2 linked regions of the Drosophila melanogaster genome follow. The protein of the gene in region 1 interacts with the protein of each later gene in a pairwise test. Each region holds a gene or a part of one and is shown in the gene's direction. Other genes may lie near its edges.

What was found.
Region 2: the proteins of S-Lap7 (region 1) and Ptp4E interact in a two-hybrid assay, tested with the Drosophila melanogaster proteins (one large-scale study listed by BioGRID).

What each region holds. Positions count from the first base shown.
Region 1 is NT_033778.4:13,777,426-13,782,265, reverse strand, and holds S-Lap7 (Sperm-Leucylaminopeptidase 7), read left to right. Parts: upstream 1-2,020; 5' UTR 2,021-2,323; coding exon 2,324-3,907; 3' UTR 3,908-4,142; downstream 4,143-4,840.
Region 2 is NC_004354.4:4,937,171-4,942,250, forward strand, and holds the start of Ptp4E (protein tyrosine phosphatase 4E), read left to right. Parts: upstream 1-1,957; 5' UTR 1,958-2,030; exon of another isoform or gene 2,031-2,134; intron 2,135-2,266; exon of another isoform or gene 2,267-2,362; intron 2,363-2,410; exon of another isoform or gene 2,411-2,505; intron 2,506-3,251; 5' UTR 3,252-3,476; coding exon 3,477-3,677; intron 3,678-5,080.

The sequences.
Region 1 (4,840 bases):
GAAGTGAAGCTAATTTAAAGTCAACCATCGGGTCAGATGTGCTGAAGCTGCAGGCCCAGGGAAATCGACACCAATTTCGGATGCCTTGTTTAACGTTCGGCTGGCTCTCTGCCCTTGCAAGTTTCTTTAAAAGAAACACTTTCGTACACACACACACTGGAAACCCATCAATTGCAGGACAAAGGCACTCGGAGCACATTAGCAACACATGCCAAGGGGATTTTTCGGGGGATTCAACCTTTTGGGGGTAATGTAAGAACCCTTTTGTCGAGTGATTCGCAAGCCTGAACAGAAGCAAACCGAACCAAACTTATAATCCCGAAACATATGTCGAGGGGCTCCATTAAATAAAACTTAAATCCCTGGCAACCTCTTTTCAACACTTGCAAAAATATGTTGTGCCCCCGCACATTGGGTAGTAAAAAGAAGAAGGCCAAGGAAAACAGGCAACAGCAGCAGCAAAAGGGTTGAAATAAAAATGAAATTAAAATATGTGAGTGGGAACCAGAAAATATTGCACCTGCAGATGGCAAGCAAGCGCACAAACAAACGCAAGGATAATACAATGGAGCTTGGATAAAATGCAGCGATAGTAAAATCTTTTTTACTAGATTTAAAAAAACATAAATTTATGTTTAATTAAATGTCTAATGTAACAAACAAATCGAATGACTTATAAAGAAAAGCTAAAACAATTATGTTACCAATAAAACCATTCAATCAATAGGAATTCCAGTTTTTGAACGATGTAAAAACATAAGCACTCTTGGAACAGTTCGTCTTATAGAGATCTCCCTGTACAGCGCTTGACTGAGAATGAGTGACGACCATTACCGACCATTTCGACCACAATAAAATGACAAATGCCCGAAAAATCTGACCATGTTCGCACACGTTAGAAGGAGCGGCAGATGCCGTCAAACAAGTCCCATGACGGGACTCATCACCTACCTCATCCTCGTGCTGCTCCTGCTCCACATTTTGGCCACTCCATCTGGCCGAAAGCGGCCTAACCTCCACCCAAAACCTGAGCCTAACAAGTGTCGTTTGCCTGTCAGAGACGAACGGACAGTATGGACAGACCAGTAGTAGGAGCAGGAGCAGGACAATGTCTGGGCTTTCCCTTGCTGCTGGCCCATCATCATGGCCATCATGACCATCACGACCATCAGGCGGCGTTTTTGGGGGGTTTAACAACCAGACCAACCGAGCAACCAACCAACCGACCGGCGGGCAATGGGGCTTAGTACGATGACGACAAGTCCAACAACTCGGACAGGGACAAGGCGAAAGCCTATTAAAAATCATGCTAAACGGCAGTAAAACAATGTGTGTGTGTTTCAACACCAGTTCCCAGTTTTGCTGGCCAGTTTGGAGTCCTTGTTTTCGGGTAGCTGCTGCACCCGACCTAATGCGCATTAACGCCAAAGTCGAGATCCCCAAATCCGAGATCCGAGTGGAGCCAGCAGATATCCCCGCCATTGCAATTCGTTGACGCCAATAAATAAAATGTAATCAGCTTTTCCCGCCCACCCAGCGAACTCTCGGCGATTGAGAGTCTAATAAAAGTGCTGCTTGCAGCAAAATAAAATTCAGCTCGAAAACAATTTTAAGTAGATTGGCAGAATGGAGCGACAGACTGGAGTTAAGGAATGGCAATGCAAGTTGACTGGAAATTGCTCCTTTTGGCCTCTTTTGTGGCAATTGCATTTTGTATACTGCACGTTAACACTGTACTCAGACGAAAAGCTTTTCGATGGCTTTTGTACGAGTATTTTGCTTACTCGAAAGTTGTTTGCCATTGCATTGCAACTTAATTTACATAAATATGAAAGCTATTTGTGTGCACTTAAAGTTAAGAAACCAATCTTTTTATAAATCCAATATTAGCTACTTTTGATTATATTATAAAGCGGCCAGAACTTTCTTTCACGTCTATGAATACTGCTTTACACAGATTGTTCAAATATTTTCGAATCACGTACTCCTTGAAGCTCAACTGTCAGTTGGTTTCCCAAGTGCTCGAACACCAATATGTTCAGTTTCATTTTATTAGTACGCCGGTAGAGAACAGATCGTTTTTAAAAAAGTCCCCAGAAAAATTTTTCGTTTTTTTTTTTCTCTCCAATATAGTTAAAACTTTCTCTTATCTTTTTTCGTTTCGGATTTTTCGACCAAATTTTGAGTGTGGAAACAGACGGACTAGTTTTAATCACCCAAAATTTTTGTAGTATTACTTGCGTTCGAAGGGGATTTTTTGAAAGCCCATATCCGATTTTCAAAGTATCCGAATATAACCAAGCAGAACTAACCGCCAATCAGGATGAACAAGCTACGTCAGATTCACTGCTCGTTGAAAAATGCGTGTGTCCTGTGCAAACCGCATGTCCTGTCCAGTGCTGGCGTGAGATTCTCCTGCGGCGATGGCAAGACGATGGCGAAGGGCGTGGTCGTCGGCCTCTATCAGAAGGAAGGCGACAAGGATCCCAAGCTGACTCCCGCCGGCCACAAGATTGACCAGCGCGTCCAAGGCAAGCTGATGAAGGCGATCTGTGAAACGAAGTTGGACGGACGACTGGGTCGCGGCAAGGTGTTCCACAACATCGATACCGAATTCGCAGCCGTTGCCGTGGTGGGCGTGGGCCTGGAGGGCATCGGCTTCAATGAACTGGAAATGCTGGACGAGGGTATGGAGTTCGTACGTGTGGCCGCCGGCGTAGGTGCCAGATCCCTGCAGCAGCAGGGTATCACCAACGTCTTGGTGGACGGCATGGACTACGCAGAGCAGGCGGCCGAGGGCTCCCAACTGGCCGTCTGGCGTTTCCCGGACAATCTGTCCAAGAAGAACATGCCGATGGTGCCGACCCTGGAGCTATTCGAGTCGCCGGATCACGAGGGCTGGACTCGTGGCATCTTCAAGGCGGAGGCCCAGAATTTGGCAAGACGCTTAAGCGATGCCCCCGCCAACTGCATGACGCCTACCATGTTTGCCCAGGCCGCCGTGGACGCTCTGTGTCCCTGCGGCATTACCGTGGAGGTTCGCACCATGGACTGGATCGAGGCCCAGCGCCTAAATGCCTTTCTGATGATCGCCAAGGGCAGCTGTGAGCCGCCAGTGCTCCTGGAGCTGAGCTACTGCGGCACCGCGCCCGATGACAAGCCCATTCTGTTCGTGGGCAAGGGCATCACCTTCAACTCTGGTGCCCTCAACCTGCGCCCTTGCAGAGGCATGGATGAGTATCGGGGCAGCATGTCCGCCGCCGCCTGCTGTGTGGCCATGATGCGCTGCATCGCCGCCCTGTCGCTGCCCATCAATGTGACGTGCATCATTCCGTTGTGCGAAAACATGCCCTCAGGAATGTCGGCGAAACCTGGCGATGTGGTCACCCTGCTCAATGGCAAGTCGATGGCCATACGTGATCTGGACAAGGCTGGTGTGGTTGTGCTATCGGATCCCCTGCTCTACGGACAGAAGACGTATCTGCCCAGGTTGGTGGTGGATATTGCCACCCTTAACACGGGAGTGAAGAAGGCCTTCGGTGGTGGCGCCACTGGCATCTGGTCCAACTCACACTACATCTGGAAGCAGTTCCAGCGAGCTGGCTCCATTTCCGGTGACCGTGTGTGGCGTCTGCCACTCTGGCAATACTACAGGCGCCAGGTCACCGATGAGCGCGCCTATGATCTGAGCAACAATGGACGTGGATTGGCCAGCTCCTGCCTGGCGGCGGCCATCCTTCACGAACTAGTGCCCTGCGTGGACTGGGCACATCTCGACACCCGTGGCACTGGACTCCTGTCCAAGTACGGTCTAGTGCCCTATCTAACTAAGAAGCGTATGACCGGACGACCCACCCGAACCCTTGTTCAGTTCGTCTACCAAATGGCCTGTCCGGAGATGAAGTAATCCATTTAGCTGATTTAGGCGGTTCTGTTGCCGTGTGATCAGTGATCAGTGCAGTGATCAGTGGCCGATTCACATTCGACCAAGTGTTATATTTCGTTTGATATTTTCAAGTAAATCAAAGATTTTCGGCGTGATTTTGGCATAAAAAGTTTTCATATATTCTATTAAATGCTAACTGGCGGAGGTTACTGTTAAAGCTTCAATAAATTTAATCTACAGTTAGATTTTAATACGATTTCATGGCTATACTTTCTTTTCATTTTCCCCCCAACTCAGGTGTGTCTGGGTGTCTCCTGTACACACGCCCTGCTCATTTCGCATTTTCACATTTTCAGGACACTTTTCGTGGCCTTTTGCCTGGTTGCGCACAAAGACGCACCATTGGCCGGGGACTTTGCCTTCTGGTTCGCCAAGGAAATACAGATAAATTAAATTCAGGAAACCCCAAGCTGCGCGAAAGTTTTTCCGCCAGTGAAAGAAAATGTTAATTCCGAGACGCGGGTGGAAACGGAGTGGAGTGGACTGGAGTGCATTTCCCTGGCACACGCTTCAAGTGCTTGAGGTTGGCCAAATGAATATATATACCGTATCAGCCGCCATATATCTATATCAATTGGTCCAGACAGCGCCCCAAAATGTCGGGCCAACACACATACACTTGGAAAATATAATCTGCTGTTTGAACATTAAGTAAATTAAGTGAGAGAGATATATGAACTAGGTGTGGTGAAGTGATTTCATTCACGAGGTAATTTTCAAATTTCCAAAGTTATATGGATACTAAAGTTTAGGAACTAGCCTTTCTAAAGGCTAATAGCTTAGATAAGCAAAATGTAAGGCCTTTATTTAATCTAACATACGATAATAATGTATATACCAAAATGGGCTAATTCGCAAGAGTGGCACTCCAAAATTAACTGAATTGATGGCTTT
Region 2 (5,080 bases), on another chromosome or scaffold:
AAATGCACGCCGCAAATGGAATTTTAAGGGAGTGTGCTTGTGTGCGTGCAAGCGACGCCTGCCGCTTCCTCTTCTTCGACTTGCAAAACAACAACGAGCGAAATTGAGCGTGAAAACAGAGGAAACGCGAGGATAGATATTGTATAAAAACATGCGTATTTAACAGCGGCTGACCTTGTTTTCATTTGCGCCTAACAAGCTACGGAAAGTGAAAGACTTTGATTGGAATTCTCATAAGAATGTGAAACAGGTTTCGCTCTCATAACGGTATCTGCATACACATACACACACACACACACAGATGAGCCGTAATAGCCAGGCAAAAACAAGAAAAAGCCGGAAAAAGAAAGTAAAAAGGCAGAAAATGTTTAGTTTATATTTCTAGAGCGAGAAAGAGAGAGAGAGAGATATGGGGACGTAGAGAGCGACTGTTAAGTAATACATTTGCAGAGAAAGCGCGCGCAAAAGACACAAGAAAAAAAAACACATTTGCATGTATTGTGTGCTACTTATTGATGGCGTTATTTTCTGGTGTTTTTCGCACAATTGCCGCAGTTTCTGAACGCTGCTTTTGACATTGGAAGAGTTCAAGCGGCTTTTTTTTTACGAATTCGATTTAAACTCATTTTCGATCTGCGAAGGTCAACAGCAAAACAAAATGAAGCCGACTGCACGCACACCAAGGCAATATTTACACAGATACATTCACCACAGTTGTATGTTGCTTGTGTTGCTCCTTAAATATGTTACATATTTAACATATATGATATGTTGTGACAATCAAATAGTACTTGCAATCTTTACCTTGGTTGAGCCGCTCGATTTTACAACTGTTATTTATCACACTTTATTTTCAGTTTAAAATGCACTTTTTCGCTTCCTTTTCACTTTTGATTGCTACTGACATCAACTTGACGTTCTGCTAGTGACTGTATGTTAGCTCCTAACAGCTTCGGCAATTTATCGATTAGTGCTGTTAACGCTACAGCTACCTAACAGAATTAAAGAAATATATTAAATTTAACAAAAATACTGAATACAGCTAGCTGGTCATACTCCTGTTTTACATTTTATTTAATTTACGAATACGTTTAATTTAAATTTTGTTGATATATAATTTAATAAATTTTTTGGTCTCAAAACGTCTTAGCTAACCCCACACAAAACCACTTCGAGATTATTCTGAGGTTCTACGAAAAAAAACTTGTTATATATACAGAGATATATGTATTTTAAAACCAAATAAAAATGAACCTGTATATAATAATACCATAAGATAGCTACTTACTCTACGAGCTGTGAGCCTTGAGTGCCGGTGCTCATATAACTTTCTTAAGCTTGCTTGATATAATTTTCATATTGCATATCTAAAAAAAAATAAAAAAATAATTATAAAATTTTTGTAAAAAGTTCAGTAAAAACAGTTTAATTCACTTATTACCTGGTATTTCCTTCTCTGCAAATATAAACGAATTTTAGATATTTTCAAATTTGTTTGAGTTGGTGTGTTCTGTTTATTATGAAAACATGGATACATTTTTAACAAGTGCTCAAAATATTATTTTATTTACTAAATATATCAATATATAAAATAAATTGTATTTTCTATTAGAAGACTAGTAATAAAAATGACAAAGTTATAATAATACCATTGGAAATAATTACCAAATTGCAATTTTTGAAATTGCAAAGTGTGACTGCACGAATACTTGTTGAATATCAACTGCATGAATTAAATTTCGCTTTCCGAATCAACGAAACATCAAATTTGGTCAAACATGAGCAAAACATGTCATATAATATTAACAATATATTCTTTAAGAAATTTAACAATTTTAAATAAATTATGAGTGACCCTGTGTTGTGTAAAATATGTGGTATTTATTCAGTATTTTTGGGTTTTTTTTTCTGTTTTTCGGCAGCACTGCGCGGCGGTCACGCCTTTGTATTGTATTTATATTCATTCGTTAAGCGACGGTCGTCCAAAAAGGCAGAAAATGTGGAAATTCATTGATGAACAGTGGTGAAAAGTGCGTGCAGTCATTCGCTTCAATTTGTCGTGGCCGATTCCTTTTCGCAACCAATTTTTCTTATTTTTTTTCTTGTCAGTAACAAGTTGTCGGTCAATAAAAGTGTCAGTTTATTTTCTGCATAATAACGGTTACTAAAGCCTAAATTTTTTGTTTGTGACTTCTTTTTTTTTAAACAAATGCGCCGACGCGCCAGAAGTTTATATTCTGTTTTTATGTTTTCCGCTTAAAACGAAACGTGACTAGTTTGTTTTAAATTGGTGTGCAACGAAAACAAGAAGAAGCGGATGAAGAGGGTGGAGAGGAGAGGAAGCAGAAGAAAAAGAGCAACAGTCAAGTGAATTAGTTTTTTTTTCGTCCATGCCGTCGCTGCCAACGTCGACGCCGTTGCGCCGCCGCATTTAGTCATTGCATCAGTGTGTCCGAGTGTGTGTGTGGCAGAGAGAGCGAGTGGGAGAGCAAGGGTGGAGTAAAAGTAAATGCGTGCAATTAGCATTTAATGCAATCACCATTAACCGCCTACTATTGTAATTTATATTACCCTAGTACCTGTAATTTACACATACACCTACACACACACCTGCTCAGCTAGTGGTAGTGCAAATATGAAGTGCAAAAAGCGGCGGCAACAACAATTGTCTGTTAATTGCTGGATATTTCGTAATGCAGCAACAATAACAACGGTAGCAAACTGTAATGCCACAGTGAAGACTCGCTAATCGAAACTTTGTCGGGCATATTAACCAAATTCGTTATATGTTTGCATTGAATTTACATTTCATATATTAACTTCTAAATCTCGTTAGATTTACATGCTCGCGTGTTCAATAGCAGGGAGGGCCCACTGTACTTGTAGTGAAGCGCCGTTACAGCCACAAATGCGTGTGAGTGTGATTATGTATGCATGTGTGTCTGCATCAAATCACACACTTGCAGCGCTCATGCACACGCACTTGTACTTGTGCGTGGCTCACATTTCCATAGCCAGCCGCTTCCCCCTCCACGATCAGTGTTGCTCTTCACCTGCAGCTTTCGCTTCTGCTTCTTCTTCTCCCGCACGCATGTGCCGTTACAAATTCGCTTGGACATAAATCATTTTTCGTGCATTAGCCGGCGATTGTTAATGGAAATCGTATTAGAAAACAACAATTACAATGGGCCCACATCTGCCGCTCTCGCTCTCGATCGCGCTCATCATTGCTCTCCCGTTTCCCGTTACAGAGAGTGCAATACAAGTGCAATATTAATTAAGTAATAGAGGAAACGTAATATGCGTGTGCAATACAAACAAATGACCATGTAACGGCCAACAGAAATGTATATGCAATACAAACGTACATACATGTGTAAAACAATAAGCGCAAAACACCGCCCATCCCCGCTTGAAAAGTAAAACCAGCAATCTGCGAAACCTTCGACCATCATTGGGTTTTACTGTACTTGAAAATGGACTGTGCCACGCGAAAACAACAACAATTACGGGCACATCATCAGCAGCAACAAATACAAATACAAACACATGGACGAAAGCGGCAGCAATTACAAAAACAACGCCACAACCACCACCACTACTACCAAAATTCACAACAACAACAAAAACATTTCGTGTGGCTTGTTGTTGGCATTTTGACAATTTTTTTGGCTCAGGTGAGTGAGAAAAAAAAATGAAGGAAAAGAAACAACAACAAAACATAGTGATAAAGATAAAGCGACAGGTAAACCCGCAAAGTTAGTTACCTCTATGATTTGGGGGAAATTCGTTGGGAAAATTCTGAGGACTCCTAATGGATGGCGCAGGGTTGTCAAAAATATTCATATTTTAACTAATTACAATGCAGATTTCATAGATTGGCCAGCAACACAGACAATTTGCTAATTATTTTGAAATGTTTTTTTCTGTTTTTATTGATTCTTTTTTTTTCGAAAATTACAAGCCAACTATTTTCCACATTTAGTGGCAGAAAATGTCTTAACTGGGTTTTTGATTCGCTGAGTGCGTTTTAGGAACTCGTTTGGCCGGTTCTAGTTGTGATTTTGGCTGGGTGTTATGTTATTTTAATATGAACTCGCTCAACCGCTCACTAAAATTGAACTAAAATTACGATAAATCCAGATTTCATATAAAATCGAATAGTGAGATACAAATATTTAATGTGTTCAATATTTCAAACCAGGTTTACTTGTTATCTGATCAAACTTCGGTAGTCAAACTATTGATTGCATAGCTCGAAATCTTTAAAGGCAATTTAGAAGCGCAAATTAGAAGTTTAGGCCCAAGTCAATTTGAAATGACACACACAGGTGATGAATCCGGTGATTAAATTTGATTTTGTTGGGTGATTTGTGGGCTTATTCCCGTGATTATTCCTTGTTTTATTGCCTGAGTTTTTTTTTTTACCTCGTTCACAAAACTCGTTTCATTTCGTTTCGTTTTGCATTGTTGTCGCATTGTTTCAGCGCAAACGAAAGACAATAAAAACAAAATCCCAACCATCGCAACGCAACAAGTAAAAAGTTAAAAAAAAAAAAAAAATGATGAAAACACTAAAAAGCGAACGCAAGTTAAAATCAAGGTTGGTTCTGATGACGCTGTCCATCGCAACTTCCTCACTCTGAAAAAATTTCAATACGCTTATCGAGCGATTCCCCGAGATAGCCCAGCATAGTCGTAAACTGTTTCTAAGCTTGAAATAATAAAAAATAAAAAAAACTATAGAAATCAAAGCCTTAATAAATAGATGGCAAAACTTGTATCTTTGCTGCTGCAGTTTGTGTATTCTTTGTATCTCAGATGATCACAACAACAATAAAGTTGTCCCTGATTTCGCAGTTTCTTTGGCCACAATAACTTGAATGCACTGCCGTCTTAGTTTTGTTTTTTTTTTTTCTTTCCACATGCTTCATATTCATAACTCACGTGTTTCTGGCACTGTGACTTTGGCTTTCATTTTATCTGGGCATTGCCGCGATTGCGGATCGCAGGTCATTACGTGCCGGCTTATCGCCCGAACTTGGAACTTGGCCGAAAGTATTCGTATTACTAAGCGTCC